2 linked regions of the Mus musculus genome follow. The protein of the gene in region 1 interacts with the protein of each later gene in a biochemical or structural test. Links are inferred from orthologs where the notes say so. Each region holds a gene or a part of one and is shown in the gene's direction. Other genes may lie near its edges. The genes, in order: Fgf9 and Fgfr3.

Evidence for each region.
Region 2: the proteins of Fgf9 (region 1) and Fgfr3 form a complex in vitro, tested with the Homo sapiens proteins (3 studies listed by BioGRID and IntAct, with this or other methods). The link is inferred for Mus musculus from reciprocal best matches to the Homo sapiens genes FGF9 and FGFR3.

What each region holds. Positions count from the first base shown.
Region 1 is NC_000080.6:58,065,096-58,081,281, forward strand, and holds the start of Fgf9 (fibroblast growth factor 9), read left to right. Parts: upstream 1-7,590; 5' UTR 7,591-7,960; coding exon 7,961-8,237; intron 8,238-10,424; exon of another isoform or gene 10,425-10,790; coding exon of another isoform or gene 10,791-10,842; intron 10,843-16,186.
Region 2 is NC_000071.6:33,721,099-33,736,539, forward strand, and holds the start of Fgfr3 (fibroblast growth factor receptor 3 isoform 1 precursor), read left to right. Parts: upstream 1-625; 5' UTR 626-830; exon of another isoform or gene 831-856; intron 857-1,207; 5' UTR 1,208-1,310; coding exon 1,311-1,413; intron 1,414-2,673; exon of another isoform or gene 2,674-2,829; intron 2,830-6,548; coding exon 6,549-6,818; intron 6,819-7,093; coding exon 7,094-7,147; intron 7,148-8,582; coding exon 8,583-8,752; intron 8,753-8,837; coding exon 8,838-8,961; intron 8,962-9,045; coding exon 9,046-9,236; intron 9,237-10,182; coding exon of another isoform or gene 10,183-10,333; intron 10,334-11,018; coding exon 11,019-11,163; intron 11,164-11,623; coding exon 11,624-11,814; intron 11,815-12,155; coding exon of another isoform or gene 12,156-12,158; coding exon 12,159-12,304; intron 12,305-12,561; coding exon 12,562-12,683; intron 12,684-12,757; coding exon 12,758-12,868; intron 12,869-12,948; coding exon 12,949-13,139; intron 13,140-13,248; coding exon 13,249-13,371; intron 13,372-13,454; coding exon 13,455-13,525; intron 13,526-13,752; coding exon 13,753-13,890; intron 13,891-14,034; and 4 more.

The sequences.
Region 1 (16,186 bases):
ACCATAACCATAATAACACTGTGAAACGCATAGTAAGCTGACTATGGAGAACAAGAATACACAGGACATTTGGAAAAGCCAGAAGAAAGATTCTTTTTGTCATTCTGCGGATGGAACTGTGGATGGGACATTTTGAGGGCACTGTGCATGCTAGGCAAGCAATCTATCATAAAGTTGTACCTCCTAGTCTCAAGATTAGTATACAGAAAGGCCAGGGGTGACACTGGTTTGTGGCTATGCATATGTTCACAGGCCAGGGATCAGAAAGCCAAGACCTACACAGAAATCTCCTGCTAGCCTACCTCTCTCACCCAGGTCCCGCCTCCTCAAAGTTTCATGGCCTCCCATGGAAGCAGCACTTCCTTCCTTCTGGTAAGCAAGTCCCTGTTTATGAGGACATTTCACATCTAGACAGAAGTGTTGTTAAGCTTTTGGACCTCATTAACAGCGCTAATATAACACACAGAGTTGGAGACAAATGAAGCAGATACCAATAAGATATTCCAGTGGAGCCTGAGTGGAGATTAAGCTTAAGTTGGGGAAAACTGAGAATGGAGGAAACAAGGATGAAGACTTTTCTTTGAGGTTAACTACTGGAAGGATGTACTGGGAAGGGCAAAACTGCTAGTCTAACCAGCTCCAGACTCCACGGTCGTTATTGAACACTGCTTAGCATTTGCTGGGGTTGAGAAGTGATGTAACTGCATCATGCAGACGGTGGGCTGCCTTTTTTATGTTTTAAACATTATTAATATGCCTCAGCTAGAAATCATTTAATATAAGACCTAAATCTTGCCGTCCTTTCCTCTCCAGTACTTTTCAGTGTTTTTACCCCTGCAGAAAAGCAGGGCCTTAGTTTTGTTTCTGTTGCTGTGATTAAATACTCTGACAAAAGCAACTTAGCAGAGAAAGGGTTTATTTAGTTCACAATTCCAGGTCACAGTCCATCATAGCAAAGAAGCCAGGGCAGCAGGAACATAAAGCAACTACACACACATGCACACACACACACACACACACACACACACACACACACACACACACACAAAGAAAGAGAGAGAGAGAGAGAGAGAGAGAGAGAGAGAGAGAGAGAGAGTATCTAGTGTAGAGAGGATGCAAACACGTCCATGCTCAGTTGATAGTCTCTCTTTTGTGCAGTTTGGGACCCAAACACGGGGAACAGTGTCTCCCTCTTTTAGTCTGGGCTTTCCCACAAGAATTAACCTAATCAGGACAACCCCACATGCTAATTGAATGTAGATAATCCTTCATCAAGACTCCTTCACAGGTGATTCTGGATTGTGTCAAATTGATAATGACAACCATGGCAGGTATGGAGGAGGGATGCGCTAAGCATTACTATGGTTAGGTTGGTCTGTTAATCAGTGGCATTTTGAAGGCAGGAGATGTTGGAGTTGGGTATCTCTCCTCCCACTTAGACAGGCTGGGGGTAAAAACAGTTTCCTTGGGATCAGGAAAATGGAGCTCTGAGTGTATTCCAAAACGGTACTCTCTCTTCCAAAGCAAGTAGGAGGGATTCTTTTTCAGGTCTTCACAGTGGGAACCTGAGAAAACTTCTGGAAATAAACTTGGGGAAGGGGGGAGGGTCATCTGAGTTACAGGAAAGGGGGGAGGGTCCTCTGAGAGTGTGCCCCTGGGATTTTTTTTAAACTCTCACACTTACGCACACCGAACCTTCAGAAATTATAACTTGAAGTAACGGTACTCACTGGGCTCCAGGTGTGGCTGCTGCCGCTCTCCTCTGCTTTGGAAGCAGTGACTTGATGTCTGCCTGGCTCTCCAGCAATTTGCCTCATGACCTCAATTCTCTAAGTATTCAAGATGAGTTCTTGATTTTTCAGTCTGTTCAGCTTTTTTTCTTTGTGGACAGGAGTGATGATGTCCAGGCTCACATATCAGACTAGACATCAGACCATTATTGTTGTTATTATTATTTTAATCACTATCAGCAGCATCACCATCATCATCATCATCACTATCATCATCATCGCCATTTCTATTATAATTTAGGTTTTTGAAAAAGGGTCTCTTGGGGCTGGAGAGATGGCTCAGTGGTTAAGAACACGCTCTTCTGAACGTCCTGAGTTCAAATCCCAGCAACCACATGGTGGCTCACAACTATCTGTAATGAGATCTGATGCCCTCTTCTGGTGCATCTGAGGACAGCTACAGTATACTTACATATAATAATAAATAAAGCTTTAAAAAGAGAAAAAGAAAAAGAAAAAGAAAAAGGAAAAGAAAAAGAAAAAGAAAAAGGGTCTCCTCTAGCCAGCTGGTCTTGAACTGGCTATGTTTGGCCTTGAACTCCTGACCCCCTGCCTCCACTTCCCCAGTGCTGGGATTCCAGTCATGTGCCACCATGTCCAGCAGAGGCTGTGTGTTCCCTAATCAATTACAGGCTGCTCATAGACAGGAAAATTAGTCTTCAACTTGATATACAAAGTTTATTTTATTTTACCTTTCATTCTTTTGAATTTTGTTTCCTCCTCTGCAGCTACTTGTGTGTGTGTGTGTGTGTGTGTGTGTGTGTGTGTGTGTGTGGTTGCATTTTTCAACATTCTTTTTTTCAGGCATTTGAACTCTGGATTGCAATTAGAAAGGCTTTTACCATTCAGAGTGTAAAGGAAGGTCTCCATTGTTTCCTTTAGCACTTGTGACAATTTAAATTTACACTTGAGCGCCACTTGAGCTCTGACCTCATTTCAAGTGTGAAGGAAAACTCACGTCTTCCCCCTTCCCTTCCCTCAGAACTCACTAGTTTATTTTCCTTATTAGTTATCTTATATTAAATTCAACTATGTACTCAGATTAAAAAATGTGTAGACTATTGTTGTCCTATCTGGTTATTTATATTATAATTCTGTTTTATCTACTGGAATTTAAAGATATTTGAAATTATTGTAGGGTACTTATAGTTATAGTCAGTTAATCTCTCAATTTTTCTTGGTAAAAAATGTGTAAAGTGAATTTTCTTTTAGATTATCTTTAGCATCAATGTAGCTAATAAGAGAATTTGATACTACTCTTACCGTAATCATGCTAAGCTTTTAAATTACTCTAGGAAGGATTATATATTTTCAAAATTGAGATTGTTTCTATTTAGAAATATTATTTATATCTTTTAATTTGTTCAAAAATGTTTTGTGTCTATAGGGAGATTTAAAAACCTTTCTTCATATGCTTCTTGTGCTCTTTTATTTTTTTGTCCTTTCCCTACCTGGGGTCTATAGAATGTATCTAACTGTGTTACATACTCAGAACCACAGGCTGTTAAGTACATGTGCTAATTATTTACTCATGAATATTTATTTGGTAAAAACACACTTGCCAGATTACTTTTGGTTGTTTTTGAGGTAGGTTTTGCTGTATAGGACAGGGTGGCTTTGAACTTTCAATGCCCAGCCTCAGCTTCCTGAGGGCTGGAGTATAGGTATGTGCCATCAAATGTTCTGCAAGAGTGTGTCTCTTATAATACATGGCATTGTTGTGCCATGTAGCTCTGAGGTGTACGAACTTGACTTCACCATTTGTTAGCAATGGGGTGATGGGTGTGTTACTTAGTCTTCACAAACCACAATCTTCTCATTGGAAAAATGCAACAAAATAGCATTCACATCATGAAATCAGTTTTGAGAGTAACCACGAAGTCAGTTTTGAGAATAAAATGGCTAAAGCACAAAAGTATTTGGAATGTCTGCAGCTCTGGAAGCAAGCCAGGCCTCCCTGCAATGGTTCCATGCCTACCAAGTTGAAACTTTTCCATGAGGTCAGCCTGGGAACCCAAACCATTCCCCTTTCACCCAGTGCCATTAGTAGCTTGAAGGGTATGGGTGGGGTTGGGAGAATGGAGGGAATAGAAAATGGAGGGCTGTGACCTGGTTACACAGCCATTGTTACTGGAAGGGAATGGAAGGATTCTGTGCTGATTGGTTGTGTGTGTGTGTGTGTGTGTGTGTGTGCGCGCGCGCCCGCGCGCGCGCTCGAGTGTACATATGTACAAAGGACACACCAATTAATGGACAAAAGAAGGGCAGGTGAAGAGAACTAATGGCTGCTTCAAATGTGTGGAAGACTTATGGTCATGTTTATATATGTGTATCTAAGCCAGGGTGCACAGCAACTCATGGGGACCCACGAAGTGGGGGGAACATTGTTTACCACAGTGAGCATAGGTAGAATGTTGGATGCCATGATGCAGATCTGTGGATGCTTGGGGCATTTATTCCTTGTTATAGGCTCCCTGACATCCCATTGTTTATCCCAGACTGGGTCCATGCACTAACGTGATAGCAGAAAAGACAAATGATATCCTGATAGAAAACACAGGTAAAGGGGGAAAATGAGAAACGAGAGGATTAAGGCATTGGAGGAGAGACAGCATTAGAGAATTTGGGGATTGGGATCCACTAGAATCTACTGAATACCCCAATGTGCAGAAATGCACTAAGGGCTATACAAAGAGGAAGGATATGGCGAGGGCAGCTGGCTTGAGCGTCTATTGTCTATGCCTGCTTCATGTGCATTTTTTTTTTTCTCTTAAAGTCAGTCATCCAGGCAGGTGTAATGAAGCCAGTTAGTTAGTTGTACCATGTGTGTCTAGAAAGCAAAGCCACCATCTTGTTGTAAGTCATTGAAGAGTATTGGTAAAAACATCCTACAAGCTGAATGTGGGGAGTCTGTAGTTATGGTATAGCTCTGAAGTAATCCTGAAACCTTTTGCCATGGGAGCCCGTTGACTGCTTGGAAAGAAACGTTATAAGGTCAGGGAAACAGCAAGGTCATCGTTTCTATCACTGTGTAGGGAAAGGACCAAATGTAAGTAGCAAAGAAACCTGATGGGCAAGCAAAGAGGCAGGGAGTCAGGAAAGCAGCTTGCAGGCAGAGTTAGGGATGCAGATGAAAGGAGCTAAACTAACTGTAGTGGGAATGAGATGCGAAGGGCTGCTTGCAGTTTCTACCAACAAAAGTGCTGGGTCAGCTACTTTACTCTCTCCTACTGCTGCATCACTTTTAAAGGGACAGGATGCTTCAAGACTCAAAGGCGGAAATGATCTCTGCTCATAGGCTAAGAGGCTAAATTCAGACCGAAAAGACTTGGTTGGAGACAGTTGGTGGAAAAACTGCCTTGGAGGAAATGTCTGCGCCCTGTTCTCCATCCTTTTACAAAGTGCCTTCCTGTCTGCATTTCATTCTCTCGATCGCTTCTACCATTAAAAAAAAAAAAAAAAAAAAATCAACCTGGCACTTTGTACCCAAAGGGTACAAAGGCAGCGCCCCTGCTTAATCCACGGCCCTTGGCGACTTGGGGTGATTAATGCGAGCTACTCTAATGGTTTATGAGAAGTGTCACTTCCTCCCAGTTTCTTGTATCTGCCACTAGGCAGTTAGCGTTACAGCCTGCTCTCTAACACCGTGGATGAGACTGCTGTAAATACCACACAGCAGGGTTCTTCTGCAGTGGAAACTTGTAAGCCAGACTCAAGAAGCCAGTGCCCGGACTCCCGATGACCCCAGACTGCGGCAAAGAGGTGTGGGAGTGGACAGAGGGGAGGGTCACCTGGCCCCACTCTTTTCCCTTGGGGCCTTGCGGGAGCACGCTTTCTAATCCCGGGGGCAGGGGAAGGTCGCTCCAGGGATGGGCACCTCCAACGCCAGCGAAATCTGCAAATTCATTGCTTCCTCCGTCTTTGGGGCGAAACCCTCTGGTCGGAGTAGGGCCAGCCCCAGGGCTTCGCCGCCATAGGCTGACTTCTCCCCCAGAAAAAAGCCTTTTATTTGCTTCTCTACTGCAGGGCTCTGGTCTTTGGACTTTGCTTCCCTCTCGCACGCCGTCGGGAGCTGCGCTCAAGTCTTAGCAACTTTCACCATCTTGACCCGAGAGTCTAAGACAATGTGAACAAAGAGGAGCGTGGGGGGGGGGGGGCGGGGGGGGGCGACGACCAGGCCTTCGGGCGGGCTGCGGAGACAGTGCTTGTGTTGGGGACGCCGCGCTCAGCGGATCGGGGTGCTGGCTGGTGGCTGGGCGCGTACAGCGCCACCGGCGGCCCCTGCCCCTGGCTGCCCTGGGCAGTGCGTTTCTTTGTCCCTGCATGGGGCTGGGCTCAAAGGCTGCTGGCCTCGAGCAAAAGCCCTGGCCCGGGACCAGAGCTCCGGCTTCCAAGTCACCCGCGGCAGCGAGCGAGCCCTGAGCAGCGAACAGCGCCCGTGCCCAGCCGGCGGCTCCTGTCTGGCTCTTAGGCTATGCAGAGAGCTTCGGGCCATGGAGCAACCCTGGAACTCGAGCCTTTCACTTCCAGGCAAAGTAGAGCTCAAGGTGGCAAAGCCCGTCCTGAGTAGCTTTGTTTGGGGGCGAGAGAGAACTCATTGGAACCTTCTCCCTGAAGACGCACACTCAGATCTGGGGCGTGAGTCGAACTCAAGGACAGGGGCTGTTTTCAGGCGCCCTGGGTGCCCTTTGCTCCTAGCCGCGGGAACCTGGGGGGAGGCAGGACCCGAACAACTCAAAGATGCGAACCAGAATTCCCTTAACAAACCCGAGTGTGGGCCCACCAGTGTGTGTGTTTTGTGTGTGTGTGTGTGTGTGTGTGTGTGTGTGTGTGTGTGTGTGTGTGAGGGAGAGAGAGAGAGAGAGAGTGAGAGAGAGGGAGAGAGAGAGAGAAGAATCTGACTCACACCCAACTGTCTTACCTGCAATATTGTTTGCGCGTCTGTAAGTCTGGCTGTAGAATGAAAGAGAAACTGCCCTGTCCAACCAAGCTCCCTACACCAACCCTTCCCTCCCAGTCTATTTTATAATGCGACGCAAGGTTACAGAGTCCGCGCGAAAACTGCTTTCTCAGTTCCCCTCTGACCCTGCGTCTCTAGCAAGCTAGATTTCTTGTGGCCGAATGTCTTCGGGCTGCTGCTTCCCGTCTCTGGCACCGCGTCTCCGGCGTCTCTAAAGCCGGGTTTCCTAGGTCGTCCTCCCGGAGAAGTCCCGCGCTCTGCCCGCCTGTGCCCGGCCTGCGGCAGAGCGGCTCGAGCGTCAGGGCGGGCGCTAGGACCGGGCGGAGCGGGGCGGCCGCCGCGCTACCTTAAACCCGGCCCAATGCCGCCGCCTGCGCCACTCTGCGCGCCGGCGGGGGCTGCGCAGGAGGAGCGCTCCGCGGCCACGGCGCTGCGCGGCCCGCGCGGCGACACCTGTTCGCGGCAGCCCGGGCAGCACGCGAGCTCCGGGACGCGGTCCTCGCCCGCCGCTTGCCGCTCGCCTCACTGCAAGCCGCTGGACCTCCGCAGAGCCTCTGCAGCGTTCTGGATACTAGCTTTGGACGCCGAAAGTTTTTTCCCCCTTCTTTTTGTTATATTATCTTTATTTTTTGGAGGAGGGACTGGGAGGAGAGATTTGTCGCCGCCGCCAACGTGAGATTTTTTTTTTCCCCTTGAAGGATTCATGCTGATGTCTGCAGAGTCGGTTAGAGAGTAAAAACAGCGCATGCCTTTCTGGAGTCAGGATCCGTAAATTCTGACGTAGCCCGAGCATCTTAAAAATCCCTGTAATATCGCCCAGGCACTTACGTTGCTATGGTCATTCTGATCTCTAAGCAAATGGAGAAACTACGGATTTTTTTCCCTTATTACGGTCGGATGGGATGAAGACCTTTCTGCCTGCTGAGAGTCGAGGCTCCATATGTAGCGATGCATAGCTGTGTTGATCAATGTCAGTGTGTGAGTATAAAGTGGTGGCTTCTTAGACTATCAGTGGTTTGACCTTGAACCTGTGCCAGAGAAACAGCCGATTACTTTTATTTATGCATCGGATGGATTGAAGAAAAGAACCCTTTTTCCCTCTCTGTCTGCAACTGCGGCAAGGGAGGGGAGTTGGATATACCTCGCCTAGTGTCTCCTGGTTGATACCATCATTATTGTTTATTCTTGTGCTTAAAAGCCGAGTCCTCTGATGGCTCCCTTAGGTGAAGTTGGGAGCTATTTCGGTGTGCAGGACGCGGTACCGTTCGGGAACGTACCGGTGTTGCCGGTGGACAGTCCGGTGTTGCTAAGTGACCACCTGGGTCAGTCCGAAGCAGGGGGGCTGCCCCGGGGCCCCGCAGTCACGGACTTGGATCATTTAAAGGGGATTCTCAGGCGGAGGCAGCTGTACTGCAGGACTGGATTTCATTTAGAGATCTTCCCCAACGGTACTATCCAGGGAACCAGGAAAGACCACAGCCGCTTCGGTAGGTATGCCTTTAACCCCTCACTGTCCACGCGCTGACACGGTCAGATTATTAACTACCAGAAAGGTGGTGGTTAGGCGGGGATGCTCGAAGGGCTATATTCTCATATTCATAACCCCTGCCCCCCACATCTTTGAGTATCTTGCCAGCCCAGGGAGGGGAAAAAGCCTCCGGAATTGCAGATCTGCGTCTGGCATTGGTGCAACTTCACCCTCAGAAGGCCCTTCTTTTCTTTTTCTTCTTCTTTATTTTTCTTAAAGGAGGGTGTGTGAGTGTGAGTATGAATATAACCCAAAGCCCAAGTTTTTTCATTTGATATGTGAGACGATAAGGTTTAAGAAGTTTCTTTTTAAACGGACCCATTTCCATTAGTTTAAAGCTTTAACCACTAAGAACTTTAAACTGCATCCAGTTTCCTGTAGGTAGCTGGTATCTTGCTCAAATTAAGTTTTTTTTTCTCCCTTCCCTTTTCCTCTAATAAGCATTCTGCCTGAATTGTAAATTAAGCGTGTCGTTTATTCCCGGTGGCTGGTCTGAAATCTCTCAGGCAAAGATTGCTGGGTGATCTGGGGGAAGCACTGAAGTCGTGTTTTAGATCCGAAACATCCGGGGCAGAAGCCCCTGGGGAAACTGACCCGAGTGGGGGCGGAAATCCCACTAGGGGTGCCGGCTCTTCCATCCGTTGGTTCCCAACCTCCGCTTTTTAATTTCCACAGCGTGTAGCCTTGTGTGGGTTTCCTGAGTGGCTTTCTGGTGTGAGTGTTTGCGTGCGCTTGCAAAAGCTGCAGGCTCATTTTAAAGGGCATTCCGAAGATTTCACGTTCCGAGCAGGGTACTTGTGACTCAGCACCGAAGGCTGCAGACTCAGGTGGGGACTCTGCCCACTTTCGTGCCTCCACACACGTGCCTGGCGGGGCACCTTCAGTGGTGCAGTGCTAAGTCAGCGAACACAGTTCTGCCTGGCGTTGGGGCGGGGGCGGGGTGTGTGGAATCTAGGTTTTTCCCCTTATTTAAAAAAAAGAAAAAATAAATCCACAGTTTGGGCAACCAGACTGTTGGAAGGAGTTAACTCCTGAGTGAACCCACCTGACAACACTTAGACTAGGTCGTAAAACCAAGTCCTGTGGTGATTTTTCTTCCTCATGCCTTAATGCCAGATGTTGAACGAAATCTAAACTAGGTGTTTAGCTTCATGGTCTGTGGATGTTGCCGGGAGGTGAGGAGGGTCCAGGCCTGGATGAAGATAGTCTAGATTCTTGAGGCCCAGGGTTTCCCCCTTGGCTCACTACTGAGGCTGGGCTCAAAAGTGAACCCAGTCAATTTTCCCCACTTGACTTGTGTCCCCCTCGCTGCTTAAAAACAGAAAGTGTAGCTCATTGCTGCGATTATTCCTTCGAATGCTAACCTGATTAACCTAACTATCTTCCCACCACCCCGTAAGTAAACGCCGCTGCTGCCTGCCTGTCGCTAGGGAAGACTAAACTTTACTGGAGTGCTTGTCTAGTTGGCCACCTTAAGGACTGCTACGGAGCCGGGTTTCTGGAGCAAGCCAAGCAGCGGGAGGCCGGTGGCGGCGGGGATCGAGTGTCCTAGGGTTCAGGGCAGCCAGCTTGATGCCCGGGCAGCCCGCTTGATGCCCGGGGCAGCTGGAGCCCGGTCCTCCCGCGCTCCGGGCCGGCAGGTGCGGGCTCAGCCCCCGGCCCCGCGTCGCTCTCGTTCCGCGCGGTCCTAAGAGCGCTCGGGTTCTAACTCCCTTTCCACGGTGCTCCTGTGCGCCCCTCCGTACTGCGGGGACCGCTGGGGTTCAGGGGAGGGAGGACAGGGACCGACACCTTTCTGGTCGCGTGTCGGGTGTCCGACTTTTCTTTTTTGCCCCTGTCCAGTCCCCTTGCTTTCTCTTTGTGTGTGAGTGCGGGTCTGGTGGCGCTGACAGCCGCCGCCCGAGGAAGCGCGGTGGTGGTGTGCGGTGTGGGAACCGCTGGAGGTGCGCACCGCAGCCGGAGAGTTGGTGGCGGGGACGAGGACAGACTGGAGGTTGGAACTGAGCTTTGCGGTCTCACGCAGGGTCACCCCCTTCTTTCTGAAGCGCGCAGCAGGGTTTGGGAGAGTCCTAGGGCTCCGCTGGGTCTGGGAGGTGGGTCGGGGGCCCCTGGCCAGGCGAGGCCACAGTAGCAGGGGTGGGGGTGGGGGTGACAAAGGGCCTCGCAGGCGGTGCAGGGGGTGGCATGCTATTGTTAACCACTAGCCTAGGGAAGGCATCCGGATCTAGTCTCACAGGAGCAGAAGGCCGGCTGCACTCGGAGCGCAGGGCTGCAGGGGCGCTGCGGCCAGCCAAAGCCACCTTTATTGTGTGCATTTCCCGGTCCCAACCCGGGGTGCTTCAGAACTGGGCCCAGGTCACTGGATAGCCCTCACACTTCGGACCCCTCCACGTACCTTCGCCCCCACCTCCCAGCTTTTCTTTCTTTCTTTTTAAAAATGCAGTAGTCACCTTTAAGATAGGACGTTTGCCACGCGCACTTGATACATCAGATACTGAGTATCTGTGCTAGGATGCAAGGGCGGGGAGCGCGCGCGTTCAGGGGTCAGCGAAGAAGGACTGCAGGTACCGCCCGCCGCAGAACCCAGACTATCAAACAAAAAGCCCCAACCTCCTCACCCCGCCCCGATCCTAGAGGTTGGAGAATGTGTCGCCAAGGAAGTGACATCTCTACTTTCTGGTTCCGCACAGTGTGTGTGTGTGTGTGTGTGGGGGGGGGGGGTGTTGGTAGGAGGGAAGCGGAAGCCCCGGCCCATGCTGGGGACCCCCCAGTGCAAGTATAGCAGGTCGGCCCGGTGTCTGCCGCGGGGGGAAGGGCGCGCCTGGTTCTTGGCGGTGCCACTCACCCTCGTTCGGATGGAGCTGAGTGGGCGGCTGTGCGCAGTGGGGGTGGGGAAGGAGGGTTATTTAAGTCTTTCATCCGGTTGCAGTGAGAAGCGGGCCCCCGGGGTGACAGCAGTGCCGCGGTCTCCCGCTGCTGCTTCTGCGGCAGGTCCCAATATTAGCAACCTCTGCAGCGCCGTGCGTGTGCCGGGAGCCTCCGCGCCCTGCCTCCTCAGCCCCGCCCGCAGGGAGTTACGGCGGCGCTAGGACCTGGCGGCCCGGAGCCAGGCGGGGCGGAGGGGCTGCGGGGCGCACCTGGCGCCCGCGCCACTGCCGCTTCACCTTCCACCCCCTCCCCGCAGCCATGGCCTCCGCGCCTCCTTGGCTCCTCCCGGGGGACTTCGACTTCTCCCTGGGTTTTAGAGTAGCTGTAGGTGGGGTGGGTTTACACCTCGATTAAAATAGAAGGTGCGTTTTCTACCTGAAAAGGAAAGGCAGAAGGAAACGTGCTGGGCCAATGCTTTCTGCCGCCCCTGAGCCGCCGCAGGTGACTGCCGCTGCTGGCAAGCTCGGCGGGGCAAGGCTGCGGCCCGGGCCGGGGATGTGGGGGTGCGGGAATCTCAGCGCTGTTGGGGCTGCAGCCGGGCCGGGGAGTTGAAGGTGGGACCTTGAGGAGCCCTTTGTTTTTCCTTGGGGGTGATGGGAGCTGGGAGGAAGGGACCATGGGGTCCTGTCTCTGAGTGATGATCTGGGAAGCAAGTGTGAGTTTTTCACTTGGAAGGGCTTTCTGGCCTTGATAGCTGTTAAGACAATGAACAAAAATAAAGTAGGCAGTGCAGAGTAATGAAAAAAAGTGAACGCTGGGCCTGTGGAAGCTGAAGCAGGCCTACCTGCTGGCCTCAGGGGTGGTGACTCAAGAGGCATTAGAACCCTAGATTGACACTACTGCTGGTAAGCCATTTGAGGGGCAGGACCTGGCCTGTTAAAGGAGTAGGGTTTCAGATGCTGGTGGTACTAGGTGGGAGAAAGATACTGGCGTGATTAAAATAATAATAATAAAACAAAGTTAAACCTTATTTTCAGGGTTTTGCAGAAAAAGACAAAATTCAACTCTTTGTGCCTTGGCTTTTCAGTACTGTACAGAGAAAAGCCTTCATAATTCAGAGCGGCCTTTGAACTTACTGCAGAAAGCTTGGATATCCATTCAACTGCTACTTCCTAAGGGAACCTAGTTTTGTTCAAGCTGGTTCAGGTATTCCTAGACCCCCTGGAGCCCCAGGTGGCTAGTGTGCATAATCAGGAAGCTGTGGAAGAGAGGGGCTCAATCACCCCTTCCACCCTCTTTTGAAACAGGGTCTTAAGTAGCACAGGCTAGCCCCGAACTACTAGTCCACCTTTCCACAGCCCCCAGATGCTGGGATTACAGGCCAATATCACCATGTTCAGTTTCACCTTTGTCTTTTGACAGCCTCATGCGGTATTTCTCTGTAGAATCTGGACCGTTTCTTTTCTTCGCCCCATTTCTTCTCACTTCCTCCTAAGTCTCTTCACTTTCCTGTTTCTTCTTCAACATAGTCACCGGAGTAACCCTGATGCCCAGGCTAGCCTGGAACTGTTGAGCTAAGCTCCTTCTGCCTTAGTTTGTGGAGTTGCTGGACCACTGGCTACTCCACTGTGCTGTTGCATATTAATCTTTGATAACTGCATATATTTATACAATGAATTTTGATCATATCTACCTCTTATTTCCCTCTTCCGACTTGCCCCGGAAGCTTTCCACAGGTCCCATAACTTCATGGTGGGGGCTGTGGCTGCTGCCTCCTTTTTCTCTTTCTGAGTCTAGTTAGTCACACACACACTCTTGGAGATGGGGCTATCTAATGAAACCTGGGCAACCTATCAGCAGCCACACCCTCAAAGAAAAATGGCTCTTGCTCCATTAGCACTGTCAACTGGCCAAGTCCCCACAGGTGTGGGAGGTTACAAAGCCTTTCTCTCATCCATGCTGGGGCATTGACTGGCTTGATCCTGTGCAAGTCTTGGGCATGTAACCTTAGTTGTTACTAGTTCTTGAGTGTGACAGCCATGTTTTGTCTCACAGTGCACCTCGTAGTCTTCTGCTCTGATATTTTTTTCTACCCTCTTTTTCCAGGTGTTCTCTGAACTTTGGAGAAGGTGGCGGTGATATAGATGTCCCTCCCCTTTAGGGATGAGCATCCATAGTCACTTATTCTAAGCAATTTAATTAGGAGTCTCCCAGTTTCAGTTAACAGTTTCCCATTGCAAAAAAGAAGCCTTGGTTAGAAACCAAAGTGAGAGGAAGTACAGACATGACTATTTAAAAGGCAACTTGACAACAGGATAGTTTAGCAAAATCACCACAGCAGATTCTACCCCAGGGCCTGTGAAAGTGCCAGTCACAGGCTTTTGACTAGGTTTACAGTATCAGGTGTGAATTCTCTCCTGTGAATCATGCCTTAAGTCCAAGCAGAGAGAAGTTGGTTATTCCTATAATGGTTATACCACTATTGTGCTCGTGGGATCATCTTACCTGGCAGGTCTGTAGTAGTGTAGCATAGAGGGCGATACCATTGATAATTCTTCTCCAGTGGTCTGTATGACCCCTTTTATCATCATGAAAACTAGCCAGTAGAATAGAAGTTTCCTGGTTGGTTTGAGGTTGAATTCTCTATGTCCTGTAGCCAAATTGTAAGATTCTATGATCTCGTTATGGTGGTCAACGAAGCCGACAATACTGGCTTTGTATGTTTTTGTTGTTTGATCTGAAGAGGGCACGGGTTAGAGCTTCTGTCTGTCAGCTCTCCTATTTCCTATGGCTGGCTTTAGAGGTGAGGCACAGCATAAGTGGATTCTAGGAGGGTGGACTAACATGTGGTTAATGACACAGGGGTTAATGAGACTGGGAGGAGGGAGACCTAATCTGGGACTGTTCCAGAAGAAGTGTGTGACCATTTGCCTTATCAGCCTCTACGAGACCCTGAGTGGTCCTTATAGAAATGGTTCTTTATGGAGGAAGTGAAAGGATCTGCAACCCAATTACTATTCCTTACTGTGGCCTTTCTGAGCCTATGCCATCTAGGTTGTGTGTGCTAGGAGAGAGAGGCCAAAATGTTGGTTTTAGGCTAACCCATTATTCTCCTTTTCCTCTTTCCTTCTTTTTATTCTTCTTTTTCTTCTCTCCTTGATCTTGAAACATCCCATCTCTATAGAAGAGTCTCGCAGGTTGTCATTGATCTAGTATTGTCCATATTGGTTACTCAGCTTCACACAGGTCAACAGATTAGTGTAAGGAGTGCTCTGACCTCACGGCAGTTGGAGGCACTTGCTTGGCACCAGCTGAGGACTTGACCTGCTGGAGCACAGAACTGTAGATTTCACTGTGGACAAGGTGGTACCAGGAATGATAACGATTCCAGTCTGGATGGGGTGGGGTCTGGTTACCCTGTTGCCAGGTCTCCCTGACCTTACCACACTGGTGTTTTCTGGGTGTGGGAGAAAGACCATGACTCACACATTTTGGTGTTCTGCTTGCCCTTGAGTTATGGGGGTGACCTCATAAAAATTTGGATTTTTTTTCCTACTCTAAAGGAACTTCAGGGATATGGATAATGGTTTGAGGTGACAAAATATTTCCCCCTGGGGTCACTGGGTCCTGCTTCTTGCTGGGACACCGCCCCAGACCCATTTCAGATTTTTTTTTTAAATGATACTCCCCTGGCTTGCTCGTCTGTACCTGAACAAACCACTGAACTTGTGCCCTCTTGTTCCCTGCACATCTGCCTCCCACTGTGTGAGCTACACTGGCACCATAGCTCTGTCCATTGTTCTTCCCATTACAGCAGCCCCTTCCCCTGTTAGCTTTGTGTCTGAAAATGTTAAGTGGAATATTGCAGAAATAATTCAAAAGTTTAAACACCTTTTACTACACTATCTGATACTGGTTCTATTTTTTATTAGTTATTATTAACCCCCTACGGGGGCTAGTTTTAAATTTTGTCATGAGTGTATATGTACAGGATAAAACAGTATAAATAGGGTTTGGGGTGCTTTGGCCTCAGGCATGCAAGGAATGTCTCTCCACAGATAGTGAATGACTACCACTGAGCAGGAGGCAGGGCCTCCACTACATATCTCTTTCATATTTTTATATTTAATAGGCAGCATGATGGTTGGTTAATATAGTCCCTCAGTAATAGGTCACTGTCTAAAGAAGTGAAAGCATATGTAGTTTAACCATTTTATCAATAACTAGGAAAAGTGATAAAATATTAATATTTTCATCCCCATATTTTATAACAATAGTCTCAGAAGTTAAGTGTATAAAAATAGCAAGAAATTACAGATACAACCCCCCAAAAGTTAGAGCCAACTGCAGCAGTGTACATAATATCCAAGGAAACAGGCCTTACAGTCTGATTGACTTGAGGAAATCTCAATTGTCCTTTTGTACTATGGGGCTGAAGACATTGCAGTGCCCAGGACTGTCCTAAAGACTGAAGAAGACAGGACTTCTCATGCTTAAGTATTCTGGCTGTTACGTGACACTTACTGTAGTCATTACTACTATTCTTGCTATTCTTCAGACCAGCCAGTGAGGTAGTTTTTGTGAAATCATATTCTCTGTTGGATCTGGCTGAGCTGTTGATGGGATATTAGTTCTGAGTTGCCCTGTGTGTAGAGGAGACAGATCATCGTGTGGCCTCTCAAAGGACAGGAATGGCTTTTAGTTTTATGCCTTTCCTCATTGACCTGGTAAATTAAATTGCACAGACCTCAGAGTGGGTGAAATGTTTCCTGTATTTCATTTTATAGTGAAAGCATGAAGTAAGTCCTTATGCTAATCTCAGGATTTGTATGACCTTGGTTAGGGTGTACTTTTGTGGGGCAGGGGGGTAGCAAGAAGAGAGTCTTGTATAAGTAGTCCTTAATAACAATAAACTGTTCCAATTTTGATTATTTTGAGCCATAAGGATTAGAAATGATATGATGAAATAAAATGACTGCATCATAATTAAAGTATATCTTCTGTTCAATAAAGCTCTAGGAGATGTTGCCTCTTCAGTCT
Region 2 (15,441 bases), on another chromosome or scaffold:
CTAGGACATCCATAGGTTGGAGTTCAGGCAGCCTTAGGGTAGGGCAGGCTCCCCTGCTTTGTATCCCCAGCTCTTCTCGCTATTCCGAGAGGCTGGGTAAGTTTCTTCCAAAACCTGTGTGTTCTTGGGGAAGTGTGGACATCGTTCCTGAGCAGGATGCAGGCAGCTGGTTAGTTTGATAAATACAGCAGCGTGTCCGTCTTTTCTAGGGTGCAATCCCTGGGTCTTTCATCATGTAAACTCTGCTCCATCCTTCACTGGAAGACCTGTTCACACGTATTTGTATTTGTCTTCCTGGAACTGTCAGGCTTTGTACCTGAGGATTTAGTGCTCTTTGCACAGGGTTCATTCAGCTCAGGGGGCCAGTTCACTGTGAAGACGCCCTAACACCTAGACCCCCACCGAAGTCAACCTTCTGAGCCCTTGAGCACAGCTTTATTGGAGGGAGAAGCGTGCTGGTAGACAGTCCTGAGCTCGGCATTGCTTCAAGGGGTCGAGCGTGCGACCCTTGCCTCGCCTGCTCCGCCCCAGCTGGGCTCCCACGCCCTCTGGGACCGCCCGGCGCCCCCGCCTGACCACGCCTCTTCGGATCTCCCGCCCCCTGGCCGCCGGGGAAGGGGAGTGTTCGGGGCGTGGCGGGAGCACCCCCCAACCCCCGCCCGGGCTGCTGCGCGCCGGGCAGCCCCAGTTCAGTGCACTGTGGCAGCGGGGGTGGCGGGAGCAGCTGGCGCCGTGCGATCCACTCCGGCGGGGGGACTCAGTGGTGGGCGGCCGGCCACTGGGACAGAGGAGACCCTGGAAAAGCGGGCCGAGAGACGGAGCCGCGCGTGGTGAGTTGGGCTCTAGCGGCCGCCAGGTTAGTGTGAAGGACTCGGCTGGCACTCGGAGGTTCCGGGCGGGCTCAGAAGCAGTCAGGGGGTGAGATATGCGGGAAGTGGAGCGGTTCGTAAGTGCGGCGAGGCCGGGGCAAGGCGCGGGCTTCCCGCTCTGGAAAGTTTGCGGCTACTGCCTCCGTCCTGGGAGGGCTCTGCGGCAACCAGGGAGGGAAGGAGGAGGGAGGAACCGCGGCTGGGAGGAGGCGGCCGGCGCCAGGCAGCCCGGGAGAGAGCTAGGAGTCGGCGGGCGGGGCGGCCGGGGGTCGGGGTTCAGGAGCGAGGCCGCGCTTCCCCGCTGCCCTCCGGAGTAACTCAGTGCTCTCCTCCTGTAGTCTCCACAGAGGCGTTCTCCCACCGGCGCCGGAGCCGGGCGTGGGGGGTTGCAGCATGCCCGCGCGCGCTGCTTGAGGACGCCGCGGCCCCCGCTCTGGAGCCATGGTAGTCCCGGCCTGCGTGCTAGTGTTCTGCGTGGCGGTCGTGGCTGGAGCTACTTCCGAGCCTCCTGGTCCAGAGCAGCGAGTTGTGCGGAGAGCGGCAGGTAAGGACTGACCCAAGGTGTTCTTCTGGGGGCCGGCCCTGAATCACAGGGGCTTTGGCAATGGTGAACAGCCCTTGGGTGAGGAAGGGGCGTCGGGTTGATTAGCACCACAGGGGCTAGTGCGCCGAGGTTTGTCCCCTGCCCCGCAGATCGCTGTCAGCTCGGACGCGGCAGTTTATAGGGGTGTCTGTAGGCTGGGAGCCACCACCCAAGTGCGAGGCGTCACGTGGACCGGTGCCCGTGACGGTGGTCCCAGGCAGAGGGGCGTTGGGAAGGCGCGCGAGCTGACTTCCCACGATTCCTATTGTTGCTTCTCGAATTTGAGAGGAGGAAAAATGCCTGTTATTGATTCAGCCGTTCTCCCGGAACAGTTCTTCCTCTGCTTCAGCTAAAGGAAGGCTGGACGTTGCGGGGTGGATAGTAGTATCCCAGCCAAAGCTCAGCTTCAGGGTTTCGCATGACAAGGTGACAGCTTCAGTGCGGCTGCTCCCCTCTTATCCTGTAGGCGGCCTGAGGGGTCGGTTCCCAGGGGCGCGCACAGACTGCCCTTCAGGCCGCACGCTGGGAGATGAGGGGCGGTTGTCCCAGGATCTTGGCGCCGCCTAGGTAGTCCCGCTGGCCACCAAAGTCCGATGGGACACTTGAATGCCCTCAAACGGGGCCCGGAGGCCAAGGATGCGAAAGGGAGCCACGGTCCGCTCTGCGTCCCTTGGTTGCCCGGAGGTGCGACGCGCGCGGCCCCCGGCTGTGCCCGGTGGCAGCGTGGCAAAGCAGAGCAGCGGTCTGGCGGGAGGCCGCGCGAAGGGAGGCTTTCGCTCGGTAAGTTGTCGCCCCACCCGAGCTGAGGCCCGAACAGCCGCTCCTTTGTACCTCGGCGGCCACAAACCGCGCATTGATGGCGGCGCGGCCTCTCGGGGAGGTGCGAGTGCGGCGGGCGCAGCGGGAGGAGGCAGATGGCGGTGTGCCCCTCCCGGCGCCCCCGCGCCCCTCTCTCCAGCGGCTGCAGCCTCCTGGAACAATGTCATTTTCTTTCTTTCTTTCTTTCTTTCTTTTTTTTTATGAATGAAAGTGGGCCGGGAACTTGAATGTGCGTGTCTTTCAGCGGCGTGACAGAGGCGGTCGGGAGGTCAGCGCGCGCTTTTAGCGCCTGCTAGGACTGCCCTGCTTCCCGGGTGCCGAATGGCCCGCGAGGAGACCACATTAGCATGTGTATTCAGATGAAGATATTACTTCTTGCGTCGGGTGTCAGTGAGCTCGGGTAGGGGCGGCGGGGCGGAGCGCACACCCTCTCTGTGCCTCAGGCAGTGACGGTGGCCTCCTGGCACGACCCTGCTGCGGGAACCGAAGCTGAGCCGGGCCGCCCGGGATCGGTGGGATCGCCCGCCCCTCGCTTCTGCGTTTGAGCTTGTGAGACAGGTAGGGAATTGATAGGCCAATAAACTTAATCCGGTTCCTTAACGAGATGGGCCGGGCTGTAAAAATACAAAGACCTGGTGAAGTTTACAGAGGTCCGGGCTGGCGCTTTCCCTAGGAACATAAATTACCAAGCAGGAGCTGGCTGGGGTCAAGGGCTGTGCGGCGGGGCTAGGTACCGGCCTAACCTGGCCACCCTTGGTGAGGCAAGCCCTGCTGGTGTGCTTAGTGTGGGAGACAGTAACCCTTAGGGGATCCAGAAGTTGACCCCCAGGCCGGCTTGCAGAAGCAGGGCCTTCCACCTTCCTTGTCTCCCCCCAACCCTACCTTGCTTGCAAGGCTGGACTTTGAGCCCTGCTGGCCCTCCCAGTGGTTCATTAACCTGGGCTGATCTTAGACCCTGAAGCTTTGGCTCCTATGCTGAGCCTAGAATCCCCTTGTCCTCCAGGTCTCAGGTTTTACTTGGGACCTGGAACTCTCCCCCCACCCCCTTTTGTAGTTGGGCCTAGAAGGAAAACTAGTTACCCAGGGTGTGTTAGGGGGTAGATGATGTATTGGATAGAGGTGGCCTGCCCGGTTGAGAAATTACTGAGCTGTGAACAAAGCCACTTGGGGTTGGGGCCTGCCTCGGCTTGGGTCCTCTCCTAGAACCTAAGTCTCCTCACCTGTCCTGCTACAGAGGACTGGTAATGGCAGGGTTGTTGGGGGGATTAAACCAGATAATCCCCGGTAAGCCCTCATTAGCCCGCCCAGCCTCTGGAGTTTTCTTTCATTCTTCCTTTCTTGACTTTTATAATAAACTGTGGAAACTGGAATGTCTCAAGGTGGGATGGTGGGGAATGGGGAGGAGGAAGGCAGGCAAGAGACCCTTGGCTTCAAGGCCCCTTGGGGCAGGCACCCTCCTTTCTCTTGGGTTATTTTCCTCATACACCTGGCCATACCTCCCACACCAGCTGTGTTCACTATCAAAGCAGGTGTCACTCAGATCTGTGTCCTGGTTTTGCTCCAAAGTCCAAGTCGAGTTCTTTAGGGTGACCAACCTCAGACCAGGGTTGGATTTGATGCTGGTTTTGTAGTGCGCACGTACGTCTCAACAACAGAACCTAGGCTGTCAGCTCCTCCAGGCAGTGGATGCAGCCCTTCCTCCAGCTGGGCAGCTGTGGTCTCACTCCATTGTTTGACTCAGGGGGCTTCTGCATAGGCACCCCTCATTCCTACACCCCTTTTACAGACTTTAGACACTTAACCAGGGCTTTCTGGACCTTAGGTCTGCAAGTTGGGATTTGCACTTTGTGCTGTAGTGGATGAAACCGAGACAATCTAGGAGGCTCTACGCCCAGCACAACTTGATTGGGATACAGTGTCCCTTAGCCTGCAACAGTGAGCCTACAGTACCTAGGTCCATGTTAGTACCATATAGCAATGGGGATAGGTGCTATGGGATCCATGTGGTAGGGACATTGTCCTCTTAAAGGGCACAACAGAAGTACCAGTGCTTGCGTGCTGCGTTTGGCTCCTTTGTTGATGGGGCCTAGGGAGTTACTGGTGCACACCTGGAGGCTGATGGTGTGGGAGTTCCTCTGACCAGGGCATTGCTTCTACTGCCTCAGAATACAATATTACATATTCTGCATTGTCTCAAGCACTGTCCTTCCCTTATCCCTACCTGACTCAGGTCATAATTTCCTCTACGCCCTGTGACCCTAGAATGGTGGTTGTTGGTAGATGTTGTTACCCAAGGCCCCCAAAGTCCAGGTGTCTGGTTTCGCCTAGCTCCTAATGGACAAGATGGATGGGTGGATCAAAGGTTAGCTCTTTGAGCTGACTGAACATTTCCCCTCCAGCCATCTGCTTCTCCAAGGGTCTGGTTTGGGAGCTGCCATGTTCTTTTCCAGTCCCTCTTTGGATTCGGTTAAAGCAAATACTTGTGTGCATGGCTTGAGCGGTTGTCTTGCCCAGACCAAATTGGAACCAACTGGCTGTTGCCTTTGGGCCAAGGCCTGGACTGAGGCTCTTGACCAGCCTGTCCTTGCCCTTCTGTGGAGGGAGAACTCAAGTGGCTTCCAGCACTGGGTGGTCCCCATAGGACATGGTAGCAGGATTGGAGAACTGGAAGTCAAGACAGTTAGGCCCCTGGCTATGGGACCTCCATAGGGCAGCTTAATACTGTGGGGCTCTGAAGGACATGAGCTTTGGGGATATTTTAGGGATATTCCCTCTGTCTGTCAGAATCCTGGTGGACTTTGAGCCTGTGGGTTGTCTCTGGGATGGACAGAATTGGGCCTAAGGACTGGTGTGGCCAGAGTGGACAGCTGGGCCTTGAATCTAGGCCATGCGTCGGCGGAATGACAAGTGACATTATAGCCAGTCCAGCTGGATCTGAGGAAGGAGGTCTGCTTAGCAGGACCACCCACTCCTGTCCTGGGCCCCAAGCCCAGCCGCCCTGTGATGGGCATTGTCAGGTTCTGGCAGGGAGGCCTGGAGGAGATAGCCCAGCTGGTGGTACGTCCCTGAGGGTGAAGTCTTTGAGCCACCGCATGAGCTGGGCAGCACCTGGGCAAGGCAGAGGTGTATTATCTGTGTCCGCCTAGTGGAGGAGCTATGTTGCTTCAGTTCCTTAGCCCTCAGGGTGGGTGGCTGGCTCTACTTGGCTCACATGCCCACTCAGACAGTCCCCCTCCCCCCAGTCCTCATTTGTGAAATGGGGGTCCCATGTCCTCAGCCAACCTGTGAACTCAGGAGTCTCATAGCCCACTGACTAGAGGCCTAAGAGACCAGAATGGTGTCCATGTTTTCCTAGCTGGCTCATCTGTGAAATGGGTGTTGCAAGGCGTGGACTGTCCAAGCATCCCCTAGCTGGTATACTTTGGTCTCAAGAGGTGCACAACTCCTATGAACAGCAGCCCTAGGGGTGTATGCCAGCAAGGGCTGCTCACCCATGTTCTTGTATGACCTCATGTTGTCTTCTCTCTTTCCATTTATTTTGATTTTGTTTTTAAGACAGTAGCCAGGCTGGCCTTGAGCTTGTAGCAATTCTCCTGCTTCAGACTTCTGAGTGCATGAGCCACCATACCTAGCTTTCTCTTCCTGTTTAAAGTATGTTCTGTTCCCTGGCTCTCTATCCAAACTGGTTTAGAAGCCAAGATGAGGGTTGGGTGCAAAGAGGGTTCTGAAAGGGCTCCCTATTCTTTCTCTGAGCTTTGAGCCAAAGTCCAGGGAAGGACAGCCTGTCTCCAACCTGCTTTTGTGCCTCCCTGTGAGCTTAGGGCTGATTTTACATTTCCAAATGGTGGAAGGATCAGAGGAAGGAGAATTGGTGACTTTTTCGTGGTGTGGGGCTGAGCTCAGGGCTTCAGGCATTCTGGGTAGGTGCTGTACCACAGAGTTGTCTGAAACCCTTCTTGGCACTTTAAAGATGATTCAGGTATCAGGAGGGCTGTGCCTCTTTCAGATCATCTTGGGAAGACAGCTTCCTCCTGTAGGGCAGAGCCAGAAGCCTTAGCCCATGATTGACAGAGCTGAGATGCTGGGGCCCACTGGCTCTTACGAAAACAGTTTTCCACCCCTGGTTTGAACATTGTCTGGCAGGCCCCCAGGCTCCAGGAGCACATCCCTCACCTGCCTACATACAGCCCTTGCTTGTGTGTTTGCAAAGTGAAGTGCTGGGTCTCCAGCATGCTTCTCTGGAGACCCTGTTTCATAGTGTCCCATTTACTCCACAGAGGTTCCAGGGCCTGAACCTAGCCAGCAGGAGCAGGTGGCCTTCGGCAGTGGGGACACCGTGGAGCTGAGCTGCCATCCTCCTGGAGGTGCCCCCACAGGGCCCACGGTCTGGGCTAAGGATGGTACAGGTCTGGTGGCCTCCCACCGCATCCTGGTGGGGCCTCAGAGGCTGCAAGTGCTAAATGCCTCCCACGAAGATGCAGGGGTCTACAGCTGCCAGCACCGGCTCACTCGGCGTGTGCTGTGCCACTTCAGTGTGCGTGTAACAGGTAAGTGCTTGGTGGGTGGTGCTGCAACGTGTGTGAAACAGCTGTATAGCCAAGGAGATCAGGACACTCCTGGGCTGGGTGGCTGCAGCATCCCTGGCCTAAGATGTTGATAGCTGTTGATAGAAAGGAGGGGGTACCCCTAAGTAGGTGCCATCTGAATGAATGGCCTTGTAAAGGCAGGATCCTAAAGGTATGAGAGTGGTGGACCTCAGATATGGGAAGCAGCAGGTCTTTGGATATAGGGGTATCACAGAACCCCCACTTGGAACTTGCAGATGCTCCATCCTCAGGAGATGACGAAGATGGGGAGGACGTGGCTGAAGACACAGGTGAGATTAGAGTCTATGGCCACTGAGCTGGTCAGGGCCGGGATGCCTCTCTGGTGGTTAGAAGGGAACACTGCTACAGGTGGGTAGACCAGAGGACAGTGCTCCAGGAGCAGGGAGGAGGCAGGGCTGGTCTGCAGGGACATTGCTATTGACTCTAGTAGGACGGGGCACCACAGGGGTGAGGATAGCCAGGGATGCAGCTCAGATTGTTGCTGAGGAACAATAGATCCAGGGATGAAGGGCACTGGTGGTTGTTGGTTCAGGCCGGCAGGAGGGGACAGTGCTTGTGTGTGCTGAGGTGTACATTGTGAAGAGGACGTGTGTGTGTGTGTGTGTGTGTGTGTGTGTGTGTCTATGCAGACTGAGTACTTGGGCCATTTGGAGACTTCTGGGGAAGAGTGGACAAGGTGTCCTCCAGTGGAATAAAAAAAAAATTGGTGGGAAAACAGGACTGAGTCTCTGGTGTGTGGGGGCAAGGAGAGTGGGTACAGGGGCTTGTGTGAGATTTTAGAGTGGAATCGACACAGGAACCTAGCACTGACGCCAACAGAGGCTCCTGTCCTGGGGAGTCATTTGGCTTCTCATTTCCCTTTCCCCTTTGGCTACCAGGTTGTTGAGAGCAAAATTTCTAAGCCAGTTTTCCCCTCCCCTGGCTCCTGCACCAGCCATGTTACCAGTGGCCTTGCCCTGAGTTTGTGTCCACTTCTGCCTCCCTGGTTTTCCCAGGCTGCATCTAGTGCTTACACACCCCACGTGGGCTTCGGCTCTGAGGTGACTAAAGGGTCATCTTCTGGACCTTGCCTGGGCATGGGAAGCATTGGCTCACTGCCGTCGCTGAGTGTGCCAAGCTAATGGCCGCCCTGGGAGCCTGGGAGGGCAGCTCAGCATGGAGGGTTCCCTCACCAGCGTATGCAGACGGTTCTCTCCCCCTGTGCTGTGGCTCCTCCACCCACAGATGCACATGGTCCTATGGTAGAGTGTAGTGAGGTCACTGCAGAAGGGGCCTGCCTCCCTAGTCTGTCCTGGATCCTTGCTCTGTCCCTCAGCTGTTTCAGGAGTCCCAGCAGGGTGGCTTCCTCCACCCAGCCCAGAGGAACCAGAGCGCTCAGTGGGGGGAAAGCGCGACCTAAAGGAAGCAGGCCAGGCCCTGGGTACTGCAGAGGCTGGCTTGGGGTTTGCAGACTGGTGGGATGACCTGGCCTAGGCCTTCTAGGATCTGCATCCTACTGGGATCTGGGGACCTCCACTTGTGGGCCTGCACCCAAGGGTGAGGAGGAGATAAATTCAGATCTGAGAGTAGGGCAACTGGTAATGCAGTGTCCAGGCTCAGGCAAAGCAAAGGACTCTGAATCCAGAAGGGTAAACAGGCTAGAGGCAGGCAGGGGAGGTTCTGGAAGGCACTGGTTACAGCTGTTATGGGTACTTCTGCCATCAGGGGCTCCTTATTGGACTCGCCCGGAGCGAATGGATAAGAAACTGCTGGCTGTGCCAGCCGCAAACACTGTCCGCTTCCGCTGCCCAGCTGCTGGCAACCCTACCCCCTCCATCTCCTGGCTGAAGAATGGCAAAGAATTCCGAGGGGAGCATCGCATTGGGGGCATCAAGGTAGGTCTGGGAAAGAAAGGGGCCTGGGGGCAGGGGCTGGAGACAAGGGATAGTCTGCATCTACTCACAGACTAACTACCTGCAGCTCCGGCACCAGCAGTGGAGCTTGGTCATGGAAAGTGTGGTACCCTCCGATCGTGGCAACTATACCTGTGTAGTTGAGAACAAGTTTGGCAGCATCCGGCAGACATACACACTGGATGTGCTGGGTGAGGGCCAGGCCGGGTGGCTAAGGCAAGGGGCATCTCTGGGTCCCTTGGCCCTACTGGCCCTGACCTGACTGCCTCTTGCAGAGCGCTCCCCACACCGGCCCATCCTGCAGGCTGGGCTGCCGGCCAACCAGACAGCCATTCTAGGCAGTGACGTGGAGTTCCACTGCAAGGTGTACAGCGATGCACAGCCACACATCCAGTGGCTGAAGCACGTGGAAGTGAACGGCAGCAAGGTGGGCCCTGACGGCACGCCCTACGTCACTGTACTCAAGGTAGGCTCTATCCCCGGCTGGTGGCTGGCAGGGTGGGTGGATCAGCTGGGTCAGCCCTGGCCTTGGCCCATATGTCCCTCTTGGCTGAAGGATATGTTGGGATTTACCAAGGTATTGGAACTTCTGAGAAGGGGCAGCTTAGTTCCAGTGCATGTCACCTGCTCTGAGCTCTAGGCAGGCTCTGTGTTACTTGTGCCCTGCTGTGGGACTTGTCTGCTCCGAGGACTGAGCCTGCAGAAGTTTTCTCTTGGGTAACAGTTATGGTGGCTCAGGGCAGGAGGATGACTGCTGAGTTAGTACCCTCTGGACCCCAGGGGACTGGCTAGACACTCTCCAGCTGGCCCGGATTGGCTGGTGTCATCTGCTTGCATTTAGCACTGGCTCTGTCCTGCCCCTCCCTCTGCCTGTAGCAAGTTCCATACCCGAGTTCAGGACTTTGCGATACTGGAAGCCCAAAGAAAACAGCTGTTGAGAGACAAGGAGGTCTGGTTGGGGAAAGGAATAGGGATTGTTTGGAACAGGAACCCTGGCTGTTGAGAAAGAGGCCACTGGGGTCCTGTCTGATGCGTCTCACACTGTGGGCGTGGATGTTCACGAGAATAAGCTAGTTGCCCTAAAAAGATCCCTGGGGTGAGAGTTTAGAGGCTGTGGGTTACAGGTTTTCTCTCTCTCTCTTCCCCTTCCCCCAACCCCCGCCTCCTCCGTTCTCTGTGTGTGCGTGTATGTAAGCGTGTATGTGTACCTGTGGTGACAGACATGGAGAGAAGGCCTCTTTCTGAAACCACGCCCACCACTGCCATGACGTGCCTCCTCTCCAGGCGGCTTTCCAGGCTTTGCTGCCCAGCCCATCTTTGGGAATCTCCCTTGCCCTGCCTCATCCTCACATCCTTCCGTCCTTCCGGAGCTGGCTCGGGGTGTGCCTGAGCCCAGTCTCTTGTCCCCGCAGTCCTGGATCAGTGAGAATGTGGAGGCAGACGCACGCCTCCGCCTGGCCAATGTGTCGGAGCGGGACGGGGGCGAGTACCTCTGTCGAGCCACCAATTTCATAGGCGTGGCTGAGAAGGCCTTTTGGCTGCGTGTTCACGGGCCCCAAGCAGGTAACGACTCTGTCCCATGCCTGCCTGGCACGCTGAGCTCCAGCTTCAATGCCCCCAGCCGTGCACCTGCCTGCATGCCCTGCACGAACTGCCCTGCTTGACCCTGCCTGTGACTCCAACTCTACTTGTGATGCCTCAACAATACTGGTAGCCCCCAGTTACCACTGACTGACTGTTTGCTTCAGCGCCCCCTCCCCAAAGGCCTGTGCTGTTCTCTTGCATCCCCCACTTGCATACTCAGAAGATCTGTAGAGCCTATTAGGGGCCACGTCCTGCGTTGTGTGTGAGCATCGACCTTACACCCATCTCCAGCTGGCTGATGCCTTCTGGCTTCCTGTCCATCCATCTGTCTGGCCCATCTTTTCGTCTGCATCTCTCCTGTTTCTGCACTAATTCTGCATGCTGCCTTTGTGTGGCACCGTGCTGCCCACCTGCCTGTTGCTCACCTTGGGACAGAGGACTCGCCACTGGTGGAGGGACTGGCTTCAGGCTCGGTTGCCTCAGTGCAGGAGGCAGAGGGCCCTGGGCCTCTGTGGCTGTGGCAGGGCCATGGTGGTGGCCGAAGATGTGGTGGTGGCGGCGGCGTTTTCCTTGCAGCCTGGCTGGATCATCTCCATGTGAACTGCTATGGTACCCAAAGGGAGGTGCTGGCACTCGCCTATCGCGCTCTGTTCTCTCTTTGTAGACTGCAGGCGCTAACACCACCGACAAGGAGCTAGAGGTTCTGTCCTTGCACAATGTCACCTTTGAGGACGCGGGGGAGTACACCTGCCTGGCGGGCAATTCTATTGGGTTTTCCCATCACTCTGCGTGGCTGGTGGTGCTGCCAGGTACTGGCTTCTGCTGCTGCTCATGCCGCACCTGTCCTCTTAGGGTGCTGTCTCAGGACATGCCAAAGCTGCCAGGGACTTCAGGGGGCCCATCCTGTGAAACTCACCCAGGCTTTGTGCTTGGTGTGGAAACATGAATCTGCCCTGCCTGTCTTGGTCCTGCAAGGGCCTCTTCTCTAGCAGGGCCCCCCATAGTCCTGATCTGAGGCTCTGGCATTTCCTGGGTGCCTGGGTAGCGGTGTGGGTGCTTCTGGCTCTGCTGGGTTTCTCTCCTGGGCGTGTCCCCTGCTGGCTCTCAGATGTGTTTTGATTATACTACAAGGCGAGTGGGGGGGCCATCAGCCCCTCTTCTCCAAGTATCCCAGGTCCCTTCCCTCCCCCACTGGGGCCTGTGGTTCCGGCCGGGCCGGGGGAAAGCTTGAAAAGGCTGGATGAGGCCCCAAAATTTGTATCTTTGCAGCTGAGGAGGAGCTGATGGAAACTGATGAGGCTGGCAGCGTGTACGCAGGCGTCCTCAGCTACGGGGTGGTCTTCTTCCTCTTCATCCTGGTGGTGGCAGCTGTGATACTCTGCCGCCTGCGCAGTCCCCCAAAGAAGGGCTTGGGCTCGCCCACCGTGCACAAGGTCTCTCGCTTCCCGCTTAAGCGACAGGTAACAGAAAGTAGATACCAGGTTTTGAGCTCCCTGTCCTGCCTCGTGTCTCCTAGAGTCCCAGCAGGGCCTGGGGCCTGCCCGGGACATAGTTTCTGTGGTTGGGTGGGCTGATGCCTCCTTATCTCCATATGGAGCTCAGGTTTTCTCTGAGGTGCAAAACATTTTTAGGAGTCTTAAGTCACCACTGTATAGAAGTCCGAGCAGCTAGCCCTTTTCTTGGCTCCACACCTTGCCTCATAGGCTTGACCTTGCCATCCTGGAGGCTCTACCACCCCACCCCTTTTACAATGCCCAGCCCACCCACGTTGTATGGTACCAATTTGTCCTGATGACCCAAGCAGGTGTCCTTGGAATCTAACTCCTCTATGAACTCCAACACACCCCTTGTCCGGATTGCCCGGCTGTCCTCAGGAGAAGGTCCTGTTCTGGCCAATGTTTCTGAACTTGAGCTGCCTGCTGACCCCAAGTGGGAGCTATCCAGGACCCGGTCAGTGGTGGTGAGGGACAGTATGTACTTGGTGGGGTTTAGTATATACCTGGTGGGGGTTCTGCGGTTGGGGGCTAGGTAGCTACTAGGCAGGGCCTTGTTGGAGGTATCCCCGAGATACTCCAGGGTGAGGTTTGAGGGGTCATTCTTTGTCTTCATGAGCAAATGCCCCTAGGGTTTCTGAGATACAGTGGTACATGACCCATGAGGGCTGGGGGTGCTGGGCACACACTCACTGCCTCTGTTTCCATGGTCAGGCTGACACTTGGTAAGCCTCTTGGAGAAGGCTGCTTTGGACAGGTGGTCATGGCAGAAGCTATTGGCATCGACAAGGACCGTACTGCCAAGCCTGTCACCGTGGCCGTGAAGATGCTGAAAGGTGAGGAGGGAGGGAAGTAGAGGGGCCTTTGAGGGCTGTGGGGCTGTCAGCTGACACCTCTGTTCCCGGCACAGATGATGCGACTGACAAGGACCTGTCGGACCTGGTATCTGAGATGGAGATGATGAAAATGATTGGCAAGCACAAGAACATCATTAACCTGCTGGGGGCGTGCACACAGGGTGGTAGGTCAGGTGGTTGGTGGGCCCACTGGTGGATGGCGCTCTGGAGATTGACAGCATCTCTAAGGTGCCTGTGCTTCCAGGGCCCCTGTATGTGCTGGTGGAGTACGCAGCCAAGGGCAATCTCCGGGAGTTCCTTCGGGCGCGGCGGCCTCCAGGCATGGACTACTCCTTTGATGCCTGCAGGCTGCCAGAGGAACAGCTCACCTGCAAGGATCTAGTGTCCTGTGCCTACCAGGTGGCACGGGGCATGGAATACTTGGCTTCTCAGAAGGTGGGCAGAGACAGGGACCAGGCCAGGTGGAGCCTCTCTGAGTGGAAGACCGGGTGATCGTTTGCCTGAGCTAGGGAATGGTCATCTCAGGTTCCTTTTGTCTCTTCAGTGTATTCACAGAGACTTGGCTGCCAGAAACGTCCTGGTGACCGAGGACAATGTGATGAAGATTGCGGACTTTGGCCTGGCTCGAGATGTGCACAACCTGGACTACTACAAGAAGACCACAAATGTGAGCCCTGGTCCTGCATGGTGGGGGTGAAGGGTCCCTCCAGGAGGCCCCACCCGAGAGCCAACACCTCTCCCTCTGCCCAGGGCCGGCTACCTGTGAAGTGGATGGCACCAGAGGCCCTTTTTGACCGAGTCTACACCCACCAGAGTGATGTGTATGTGTCCCTACATAGGATGGGGGTAGGGAGATCTGAAGAGAGAAGAGATACAAATTGCACTTTTGCAGTCTTCAGGGTCCTGGTCCGCTCATTGGGCCACCAGCACAGCCCTGGCTTCTCTTTATCCTAGTGCCCTGCTTTGCCCATCAGTGGTATGTCCTGGTACAGGGCTGCTGCAGTAACAGGCCAGGGGTAACAGGCCTTCTATCCTCAATTCCCTGCAGTTGGTCTTTTGGTGTCCTCCTCTGGGAGATCTTTACGCTGGGGGGCTCACCGTATCCTGGCATCCCAGTGGAAGAGCTTTTCAAGCTGTTGAAAGAGGGCCACCGCATGGACAAGCCAGCCAGCTGCACACATGACCTGTGAGCCTTGTTCATTCCTCTACAGTCCAGTCCCTGGGGTGGCAGGATTCCTACCAGGGCCCTTGGAATGTGTAGGAGACTGGTGGCCTGGAGGGAGGTTGGGGTGGGCAGGAGGCCAGGGAGCCATAGCTATACTTGCCGCAGGTACATGATCATGCGGGAATGTTGGCATGCGGTGCCTTCACAGAGGCCCACCTTCAAGCAGTTGGTAGAGGATTTAGACCGCATCCTCACTGTGACATCAACCGACGTAAGTGTCCCTCAGTCCTGCCCCCTCTGTGGCTGCCTTGCTTATTTTAAGTGTTGCTCTTTGGAGCTCCAGTGGCGGGGCTGGCCTTTAGGGGGCATAGCCTGAACACAGATGGCGTGGGATAAAAGGGGGTGAATGCAAAGGGACAGTCCTGACAACCATGTCCACCAAACAGGAGTACTTGGACCTCTCCGTGCCGTTTGAGCAGTACTCGCCAGGTGGCCAGGACACGCCTAGCTCCAGCTCGTCCGGAGATGACTCGGTGTTCACCCATGACCTGCTACCCCCAGGTCCACCCAGTAACGGGGGACCTCGGACGTGAAGGGCCAACAGTCCCACAGACCAAGCCCCAGGCAATGTTTACGCGGACCCTAGCCCGCCCTGCTACTGCTGGTGTGCAGTGGACCCTAGCCAGCCCAGTGCAATGGGCCAACAGTAGACAAGACTTCCTGCGTGTTTATCCTTGGCTCCTGGGTGCAGAGGCCCCTTGGGAACATGCACTGCTGTAGAGTAATCTCCTGACTGGCCAGGGCCAGGAGCACCAAACAAGAATGTAAGAGGCCCACCCTGTGCAACCCTGGGGTTCTGGCCCTCTCATTTCCCACTGCTACCTTCCAGGGACCATTGTGGAGAGGGCTAGACTCCATGTCCAGAGTGGGCCTTGGCCTTCTTGGTGCCCCAAGCTGAGCCTACAGGGAGGCTCTGCTCTGTGTGGCAAACCTCTCTCCTACATGGCACCTTGTGCCTGGGGGTGTCATAGCTCGACATCTCCAGGCTGCCTGCTTTCCACCCTGCCCCTCAGAGACAAATTACGGGTACCTGAAGGGGGGGCATAATGTCTATCAGAAAGGTTTATTCCAGAGGAAAATGTACATTTATATAAATAGATGTTGTGTATGATATAAATATATACATACATATATATAAGAATATCTATATGGAAAAAGGCAAAGTTGAGGCCCAAGGGAGCAAGATACTCCATGGGTCTCACTAGGAAACTGGCAAGAGCAGGCTGAGAAGCAAGGGGCTTTTCTGGCACGGCAGTTTTGTTTGTACTGGACCTGTATATTTGTAAAGCTATTTATCAACCCCCAGAGCGCCAGTCCCCGACCCCAGGTTCATAGCGTTTAGTCCCAGGGTATTGCAGCCATCTTAAGTTGTAACTTATTAACAGCGGAAGAGGTTCATGCTGGATTTAGGGAATTGCTGAGAACGTGCGTCTGGCCTCCACCAGGCTGGCCGTGGCCCCTTGGCGCTTGAATGGCTCTCCTAGTCAGAGCTGGCTCCAGGGAGCATTTTCT